3 linked regions of the Xenopus tropicalis genome follow. The protein of the gene in region 3 purifies or fractionates together with the protein of the main gene of each other region. This does not show direct contact. Links are inferred from orthologs where the notes say so. Each region holds a gene or a part of one and is shown on either strand. Other genes may lie near its edges.

What was found.
Region 1: the proteins of nedd4 (region 3) and laptm4a purify together in Homo sapiens (affinity purification with western blotting; 3 studies listed by BioGRID). This does not show direct contact. The link is inferred for Xenopus tropicalis from reciprocal best matches to the Homo sapiens genes NEDD4 and LAPTM4A.
Region 2: the proteins of nedd4 (region 3) and laptm5 purify together in Homo sapiens (affinity purification with western blotting; 3 studies listed by BioGRID and IntAct, with this or other methods). This does not show direct contact. The link is inferred for Xenopus tropicalis from reciprocal best matches to the Homo sapiens genes NEDD4 and LAPTM5.

The regions. Positions count from the first base shown.
Region 1 is NC_030681.2:143,074,993-143,078,653, reverse strand, and holds part of laptm4a (lysosomal-associated transmembrane protein 4A), read left to right. Parts: intron 1-803; coding exon 804-924; intron 925-3,661. UniProt on the Homo sapiens protein: May function in the transport of nucleosides and/or nucleoside derivatives between the cytosol and the lumen of an intracellular membrane-bound compartment.
Region 2 is NC_030678.2:83,119,032-83,121,772, forward strand, and holds the end of laptm5 (lysosomal-associated transmembrane protein 5), read left to right. Parts: intron 1-542; coding exon 543-662; 3' UTR 663-2,144; downstream 2,145-2,741. UniProt on the Homo sapiens protein: May have a special functional role during embryogenesis and in adult hematopoietic cells.
Region 3 is NC_030679.2:100,490,680-100,494,340, forward strand, and holds part of nedd4 (E3 ubiquitin-protein ligase NEDD4), read left to right. Parts: intron 1-216; coding exon 217-287; intron 288-1,640; coding exon 1,641-1,736; intron 1,737-1,849; coding exon 1,850-1,923; intron 1,924-2,689; coding exon 2,690-2,750; intron 2,751-3,358; coding exon 3,359-3,418; intron 3,419-3,661. UniProt on the Homo sapiens protein: E3 ubiquitin-protein ligase which accepts ubiquitin from an E2 ubiquitin-conjugating enzyme in the form of a thioester and then directly transfers the ubiquitin to targeted substrates. Specifically ubiquitinates 'Lys-63' in target proteins.

The sequences.
Region 1 (3,661 bases), on a different chromosome or scaffold from region 3:
CCCCTATTTCTGTAGGGAAATGAGAGCAGAACAGGCAGTAACCCTTCCAAGACTTTCCCCTGTCTTTGCCCCTATATATTTGGTACCTACCTAGTGCTACCAACCCCTATTTCTGTAGGGAAATGAGAGCAGGGCAGGCAGTAACCCTTCCAAGACTTTCCCCTGTCTCTGCCCCTATATATTAGGTACCTACCTAGTGCTACCAACCCCTATTTCTGTAGGGAAATGAGAGCAGGGCAGGCAGTAACCCTTCCAACACTTTCCCCTGTCTCTGTCCCTATATATTAGGTACCTACCTAGTGCTACCAACCCCTATTTCTGTAGGGAAATGAGAGCAGAGCAGGCAGTAACCCTTCCATAACTTTCCCCTGTCTCTGCCCCTATATATTAGGTACCTACCTAGTACTACCAACCCCTATTTCTGTAGGGAAATGAGAGCAGAGCAGGCAGTAACTCGTCCATAACTTTCCCCTTGTCACTTTTGGCCTATAATGGTTCTCTTCCCATGGCTTTTCATTGAAAAATAAGTTTTGGGTTTTTTTGTTTATCTTTTGTTGCTTGGGCCATCTAGTCTGTGGCATATATACAAATGGTGGTGCGGGCTCTAGGGAACACAGAGAGAGGGGTATGAGGCAGGGTACCAGCTGCCAATATGGCAACAAATGTCTGAAATGAATTATTGTGTACTATGCAGCCTGATTGTACATATCAATAAACCAGCACTGCTTCAAAATATTACATTTCTGCTATGAACCGAACCTCTGGGATGGAACTGTCATTAACTTTTTTTTTTTTTAACCTAGGTTGTGAACCTGCTGATGGGAATCCTCCTCACAGTGAAAGTAACCCACCCCGATACCGTGCCAACAGTCGATATTCAGTATGAAGTCATTGGCAACTACTATACTTCAGAGAGAGTGGCCGGTGAGTCTGTGCCAGTGCTGCAAAATAGGCAGCAATATTGTGGGGGGGGCGACATAGCAAGTTGGGGGGATAGAGAGGGTTATTGGACATAGCAGGTTGGGGGGATAGAGAGTCTTATGGGACATAGCAAGTTGGGGGGATAGAGAGTGTTATGGGACATAGCAAGTTGGGGGGATAGAGAGGGTTATTGGACATAGCAGGTTGGGGGGATAGAGAGTCTTATGGGACATAGCAAGTTGGGGGGATAGAGAGTGTTATGGGACATAGCAAGTTGGGGGGATAGAGAGGGTTATTGGACATAGCAGGTTGGGGGGATAGAGAGTCTTATGGGACATAGCAAGTTGGGGGGATAGAGAGTCTTATGGGACATAGCAAGCTGGGGGCATAGAGAGGGTTATGGGACATAGCAAGTTGGGGGGATAGAGAGTCTTATGGGACATAGCAAGTTGGGGGGATAGAGAGTCTTATGGGACATAGCAAGCTGGGGGCATAGAGAGGGTTATTGGACATAGCAAGTTGGGGGGATAGAGAGTCTTATGGGACATAGCAAGCTGGGGGCATAGAGAGTCTTATGGGACATAGCAAGTTGGGGGGATAGAGAGTGTTATGGGACATAGCAAGTTGGGGGGATAGAGAGTCTTATGGGACATAGCAAGCTGGGGGCATAGAGAGGGTTATTGGACATAGCAAGTTGGGGGGATAGAGAGTCTTATGGGACATAGCAAGTTGGGGGGATAGAGAGTCTTATGGGACATAGCAAGTTGGGGGGATAGAGAGTCTTATGGGACATAGCAAGCTGGGGGGATAGAGAGTCTTATGGGACATAGCAAGCTGGGGGGATAGAGAGTCTTATGGGACATAGCAAGCTGGGGGGATAGAGAGTCTTATGGGACATAGCAAGCTGGGGGGATAGAGAGTCTTATGGGACATAGCAAGTTGGGGGTATAGAGAGTCTTATGGGACATAGCAAGTTGGGGGGATAGAGAGTCTTATGGGACATAGCAAGCTGGGGGTATAGAGAGTCTTATGGGACATAGCAAGTTGGGGGTATAGAGAGTCTTATGGGACATAGCAAGCTGGGGGGATAGAGAGGGTTATGGGACATAGCAAGCTGGGGGGATAGAGAGGGTTATGGGACATAGCAAGCTGGGGGGATAGAGAGGGTTATGGGACATAGCAAGCTGGGGGGATAGAGAGGGTTATGGGACATAGCAAGCTGGGGGGATAGAGAGGGTTATGGGACATAGCAAGCTGGGGGGATAGGGAGGGTTATTGGACATAGCAAGTTGGGGGATAGAGAGTCTTATGGGACATAGCAAGTTGGGGGGATAGAGAGTCTTATGGGACATAGCAAGCTGGGGGCATAGAGAGGGTTATGGGACATAGCAAGTTGGGGGGATAGAGAGGGTTAAGGGACATAGCAAGTTGGGGGGATAGAGAGGGTTATGGGACATAGCAAGTTGGGGGGATAGAGAGGGTTATGGGACATAGCAAGTTGGGGGGATAGAGAGTCTTATGGGACATAGCAAGTTGGGGGGATAGAGAGGGTTATGGGACATAGCAAGCTGGGGGGATAGAGAGGGTTATGGGACATAGCAAGTTGGGGGGATAGAGAGGGTTATGGGACATAGCAAGTTGGGGGGATAGAGAGTCTTATGGGACATAGCAAGTTGGGGGGATAGAGAGTCTTATGGGACATAGCAAGTTGGGGGGATAGAGAGGGTTATGGGACATAGCAAGCTGGGGGGATAGAGAGGGTTATGGGACATAGCAAGTTGGGGGGATAGAGAGGGTTATGGGACATAGCAAGTTGGGGGGATAGAGAGTCTTATGGGACATAGCAAGTTGGGGGGATAGAGAGTCTTATGGGACATAGCAAGTTGGGGGGATAGAGAGGGTTATGGGACATAGCAAGCTGGGGGGATAGAGAGGGTTATGGGACATAGCAAGCTGGGGGGATAGAGAGGGTTATTGGACATAGCAAGCTGGGGGGATAGAGAGTCTTATGGGACATAGCAAGTTGGGGGGATAGAGAGGGTTATGGGACATAGCAAGCTGGGGGGATAGAGAGGGTTATGGGACATAGCAAGCTGGGGGGATAGAGAGGGTTATTGGACATAGCAAGCTGGGGGGATAGAGAGGGTAGGAGACACATTTACAGGATTTATGCAAGGTGCAAAGCTGTATATGTTTCTGTGCTGGTATGAGTGGGATGTTGTTGGGTAAAGTTAATATATTAAGATACCAGCCTATATGTGTGTCACAGAATGATCATATAATTGCAATAGCTGAAAAATAATAAAACACATAGCAAAACCCATAATAGTTAGTCATATATAAAATATGTGAATGAAGAATGTGGAGAAGCCCCACACCAGGATCTACGCACGTACAGGAAAGGTATAATATAAACATATGAATAGACACACATTAATGGGTAAGGCCCTTAGGGCAGAGTTGGGAATTAACCCCAGGAGCAAATCTTATTCCTGTACTACCTGTTTGTTCAGAGCTGCTTCGGTTCATATTGTCTGTATTGTCTCATCTTTGCTGTAACCTAATCTTCAGAGCCCCAGCCTGCCCCCCCCCCCCCACCAGAGATTCTGTGGTTTACCTTAAAGGGGATAGCCCCCCATGAAATACATATTAATATGTAGGCAATAATATTCAAAGACAATCTTTATTTGGTCTTTATTTTTTATTCTTTTCATGTTTAAAATGTGCTCATTTATTTTTC
Region 2 (2,741 bases), on a different chromosome or scaffold from region 3:
CTTTCCCGTTTTGCTTCCCTGAAAAAATTTGCAAAAGCGCATGGAAGTCAATAGGCGACTTTTTTTAAGCACAACAAATCATTTATGTGGGTGACATTTTTTACGAGCAACTTTTTTCAAGTCAGTGGGTGGTTTTTCTCACTCCAAATGCATTAAAGTCAATAGGCGTTTTTTTTTTTTTTTTGCTAACTTTTTTGTCTCTGCGACATCACTAGATGTCACCAGTTGTCCATCAGATAAGTTTTACCATGAAAGTTCAATTGATACAAACTCACCAGTTGAAATTTTGGGTGTCTGGCCCCCTACAGGGAAATCCAACTATGACTTTTCAATAAAGTAAAAACGTATATATATTATTACATTATTGCATTTCCTGCTATAATGCACTTCATCATAGGCTATGTAATGGAGCACATGTTGATAACAACTCTAGACTTGGTGGTTGAACTATAAATACCGACCAATTTACTTTGCTTATTGTGTTGTAACTTTCTAATTTTCACTTCTCTATGTACCCACAATTTTATCTCTTTTTGTTACAGGGAGTTTTGCCCTCTTATGAGGAAGCAGTCAGATCACAAGCCATTAAATTCCCCGTTCTTAAGTCTGCCACAGAGCCAAACAAGCAGTCCGTGTCAGATACTGGCCCCACCCTTTGCTAGGATGGAAGAAGACAGACAATAAGCAGACCAACGTGCAAAGAGAAAAGAGCAATGGAATATTCATGTCTTCCCTATAAATTCATTAAGGGAATATATATATATACGTACACTTATCACACTTGTTAGGCCTACACACACCTAGGAAACATGGAGGACACAAAGATAAATATACTAATTGTGAAGTTAGTAGTTTTGGCATTGTATTTAGACTGAGACTAAAAGTGGTTGAACTATTTTTATATGCCAAAATGCTTATGTGAATTATGTGTATGTGAGTTACACATGGGCCAAATTTGTTGCTGAACTCACACTTTCAATTTACTCTTCAATTTACTTCAGCTTTGTACAGAGCCCCAAAAACCCAACTTTAAACCATTCTAATCAAGAATTCTCCTTATATATTAAAAAAAATATAAAATTTCAACTGAATTGCAAAGAATAACATTGTATGTACCTGGCAAGAAAAAACTACAAGGTTCATAAATTCAAGATAAATAAATCATATGACTGAGAGACACTAGGCCTAGCTTTTGAAGCAGTTGAAAAGTAGTCAATTGCAAGCCTTTTGGGTATTCCCATTGCTTTTTGCCCCAGATCCCTATTCAACAAAATAATTGGGAAAACTATACGCTAGATGCTATAGATGTACTAAATCTATATGTTTTTGATTGGCCTTAATACTAGATATACTAGATGGTGGTAAATACAGTAGAGAATAATGTCACTGACATGTGGGAAAGTTAAGAGCTATGCCATATGTACTATAAAATAAGGGACCACAAGTCAAATACTTGAATAAAGAATCATGAGATATGGCACTTACAACAGTTTTGCTTAGTGAGACTCTAGTGCTGTCATACCTTGCTAACTTCACTTCAATTAAAAATAAGGTCACAAAACCTTTGAACCCTCCCACAGGTCCTTGCCGAAGTTCAGAAGTACTTGCTTTTTTATTCTGCATTCCCAACCTACTTTTATGTAGACCTGTTATGGATGAAATGACTGCCTTGTGAATTCACTGATGAATTTAGCAAAAGGCAAATAACCATTTTATCAGCTATAATACAGTTTGGATGATTAGCCATGGAATGCTGCCTTTTGTAATTCTTTCCCACTGAGTAGAGAGTGTAGATCAATCACCCAAAAGTAAAATTCAGAAAGAGAAATATGAATGCAAAATTAACAATTGATATCTACCCTGCTATGTTTGCAGTGTAAAGTATTCAAATTCTGTGGATTTATTTTTAGTTTATGAGATTACCTTTTGTGCAAACTCTTTTGTTGTAACTTCTTCCTGTATAAGAAACTCTGCCCATCTTGTATACAAAATAGTGAATAACCCTCTTAATAGTGTTTATTCCCAGTGCACAAAGAGTCAACGTGAATATTGCCATAGAAAGATATCTATAAATTTTATACAGATACAAAAAAGGGCAATCTGTTTTTTCAAATTCAGTGAAATAAAATGTCACTTTCTAATACTGGGTTGTTTCTCTTGTGATGTTTATTATAAATTAGGTGAGGTTTCTTACTGGAAGTCTCCCATAAAAATATAGGAGCAGTTACAGTAAGAGGCTATGATTTAGGGGTGCTGTATTGGGAGAGGAGGTGTGATTGTATGGCATGACAGAAGGTGTTACAGCAGTCTTACAAATGCATTCAGTTCTGCTATTCAGAGGCCTTAATTAATTCAAATATGCACAGCTCAAATGGCTTTCATTCATGATCTGAATCGTGTACAAAAATATGCATGAATGGAAACCATTTAAACCATGGGCTTTTAGTCTGCAAGTAAATTAGATTTTTTTTCCTTTTTCCAGCCCAAAACACAAAAGGGCATATTTATGAAAGGTATGTAAAAAATGGCATTGAAATACACTAAACATCACCACTTTAACACTGCAAAAGGATGTCTAAAATCATGCATATTTTTAATGCAAATAATTATTCTATGAAAAATTGTTGTCAAGGCTAGATCTAGGGGCAAGCAGATGATGTATCTATCCGGGGCGGGGGGGTCAGTTAGCAATGTACCACCATGCTCTCTCCCCAGCCCCTGTTTAACATTTTATTTTGCAC
Region 3 (3,661 bases):
TTAGCTGATGTGCTTTTGGGAAGTCATCCAGTCTGACATTAGCGTGACATCACAGCACTTTTTAAACCGATGATAGTATCCCTTTAATGCAAATCAAACTGTCTGTTATTAAAGCTGGATTTATACTGTATCTAGACTTGTATAGTTGTAAATGTTTATACAGAAAGGACTGTGTGGTTATACTAATAAATATATCAATTTTATTTTCTTTTACAGCATTTTTTATTCGCCCATTTTACAAAATGATGCTCCAAAAACCAATTATATTGTATGACATGGAGTCTGTGGTATGTTTTATTTGCCCTATTTGTTAATTATACTGATGTATGTTTCTACTGTTTCTTTAGTTTTCACACACACACACACACATATATATATATATATATATATATATATTTATATAGAGAAAAACATTGAGAGTTGAATAGCTGGAAAGACAGATATTTTGAGTAAAATGACAGATTCTTTTTTTTATAAAATTTTGCTTTTTCAAGCTGCACACAATATGTAGTAAATAAATATGAAATTCGAAAATATGAAATTTGAGGAAGTTGTATATGAAAATAGGAACAAATCAGTACTTCAAGTGCAGAGAGGACTGAGCAAGTATATATTTTAGGCAACACCAAAAGCTGGATTTTTCAAGCCAATCCTTAAAGGCATTCAGGAACCTTAATTTTCAGGTTCAACAATAACAGTTAGGGATGCACATAATCTAGGATTTTTCAGAACTCAGATTTAGCTGAATCCCGATAACCTGGCTTGTACCACTCATCGTCGGTATGATCTTTGTTAAGCCTATGCTAGCAATAATAGTAGAGAAGATGTAAGTTGGGTAGTTTACTGAAAGAGTTTTTAGTTTATATATTATAACCAAGGGACTGCTGCTGGCATAAAGGATATGTTATGATTGTCACACACTTAAAGGAGAAGGAAAGTCATTTTGGCATTTTACAGCCAATTTGCCACATTAGTGCCACCTAGAACAATATATTTATTCTGCAGGAAGCATTGCCATACCTGAGTAAAGAGCCCTAGAAGCTTTCTTTGTTTGCTTAAGACAGCAGCTGCCATTTTAAACAGCTTCCTGTTTGCAGTCTAGCTCACATCACCCATTCCTAAGGGAGGGGGGACAGGAGAGGGGAGAAAGGAGAGAACTGCGCAGACTCTGCCCAAGGCAATTAAGGATTTTTCTGAGAGAGGAAGTAAGATACCTTACTTTGCTTCTCCTTTAAGGGGACATTTACTACCACCCAGTTTTTTTGGTTCAGGTTTTTTGACACCAAGATACAATTTTGTTGTGGAGAAAAAAGAACACATTTTTTTCCGCTATCTATTATGTGACAAATCACGACAAACCTGAAAGCAAAAATAAGCCATCTAAAACCTGTCAAGATCAGATGTCCCTTTTACAACTGGAAGATCTTTGATTCGTGGTTTTAGAGGTTTTTATGGGTCTTTTTGACACTGGCTTTTGTATGACAGTTCGAAAAAGTAGTGCTTGTGAAAATGTGTTTTAGTCATAAAATCTCTAAAATCTGAATGTTAATAAATGCCCCCTTATTGTAAGTATGTTGGATCTGCAACTGGCATGATTCTTGCCTTTTGTCTAAACTGCACTTTTATTATCTATTTATCAGGACAGTGAATATTACAATTCCCTCCAGTGGATACTAGAAAATGATCCTTCAGGTTTAGATCTGTGCTTCACTGTTGATGAGGAACTTTTTGGACAGGTGGGGGAAAAGCCATATTTCTTATAAATATATCTCTACAATGAGTTATAAATGTGTTAACATGTAGTAGGCTTGTAGAGATTATTGATGTTGAATTTGTAACTTTTTGATAGACACATCAACATGAGTTGAAGGCTGGTGGTTCACAAATCTTAGTCACAAACAAGAACAAAAAAGAGTACATACAGTAAGTGTGCATTGCATAGTATGATGTATAGGAAATACTTCTTGTCATTTCCCTGTTGGCTTTAATAGGAGAAGCACTCAATGCATGTGTTCCAATTTTGGTTTGTTGCTTTTGAAGAATTTCTTAGATAACTATGTAATATCTTCCACTCAAGTTTTCTTTGCCTTTAACGCTTTACCTGCCAGCAGGGCAGATTGTACAGTGGCCAAATGAAGGTGGTTAAGTTTTTCCAGATGACATAATTTGCTTTTCTGCTCAAATTTAAATAAGCAAATCAGGATTAGGTTCAGTGCTTAGTGTTTTTTTTTTGTGGCAGACTCTATATTTGACCCCATTATAAACCCAGTTCATCCCTACTTTTATCCCTATTATTATATGTGAGTTAAATTATTTATAACCCTTAAGATGAGATATTCTACATAGGGTACCTTATGTATCTGCATATTTTTGTTTATTGCGTTAGCTCCGAGCAGCCCATAGCTGCGGTAAGTAAAATTTATGTTGGGACTAAACTTTTATTTTATAAATACAGGGCAGTATTGAGTGCACTATGCCAAGCAATGCAGTTTTAGAACCATTTATTGATAACAGTATTAACAGTAATAAACTAGCAAGCTTTAAACCCAAACTGCTGCTACGTGGGTGCTCAACTCAAATACATTTACATTCTGCCTATTTATATTTGCCGAACAGTAAGGTTCATATTCAGCATTAGAATAAGTTATTTTTGTTCTGGAAGTAAATTCCTGCTGTTTCTTTTATGCAGTCTTGTTATTCAGTGGAGGTTTATGAACAGAGTTCAAAAACAGATGGCTGCATTCAAAGAGGTAAATAATGTTCAAATTATGTTTAATGTGTGATCTTTGTACTGTATCTAGGTGTGATGGTTTGCCTTCACCTAGTCACTTATTACAATGTATTCAAACATATGTGGCAGTGACCAGAACCTGTTAGCGGGCTGCAGGATACTGATATGGATAAAAATTGCAATAAATAAGAATATCAGTATCACCAATAAAATTACAGTGTTGTTTGTGTAATAACCTCTGGCATTCATACTGTCCAGTTGCTGGAGCTGCACATCCCTCTGTTTCTCTCCATTTGGGAGACCTGGAAGGCAAATAAGATAATAAAAAAAATAACAGCCTAGTGTGCAGGGGGGTGGTACAAAGAGCTATCACTGGGGCACTTAAGTTATGCTCAATGGGTTCCTATGTTTAACAGGGTCACTGTCAGTTCAACGCAAAAGTATAATTTTCTCTGAACGGCCTAGGAGTCTTAACCTTAAATATGTTTATTGTGGAATAATTTCAGTACATTTACAGTGATAGGCACAACAAGGTGCAGCAGAGGGAAAATTCATTTTATTAGGTTTGACAAATTAGGAATATAGGTAATTTATTTTCTTTTTTAATATGATTTCATTCATTTTAAGGGTTTCTTTGAACTGATCCCGCAAGACCTGATAAAAATATTTGATGAAAATGAGCTGGAGGTATGTTGCCAGTTCTATCACATATCGTGTTTAAGCTAGTATAACAATTTTAGAGTCCTATTTACAGAGATATACCTAGAAGTTAAAGACCCCACAAAAACTTAAGGGAACAGGTGCTGTGCATTTGAACAGTATTTAGCCACTTGACCAACTTTCTTATTTTATGAACAACAAATAATACAGTTACAAGTTATTCTCTCTGAGATATCATATTTCAAATCACTGAATATCAAATGAACAGAG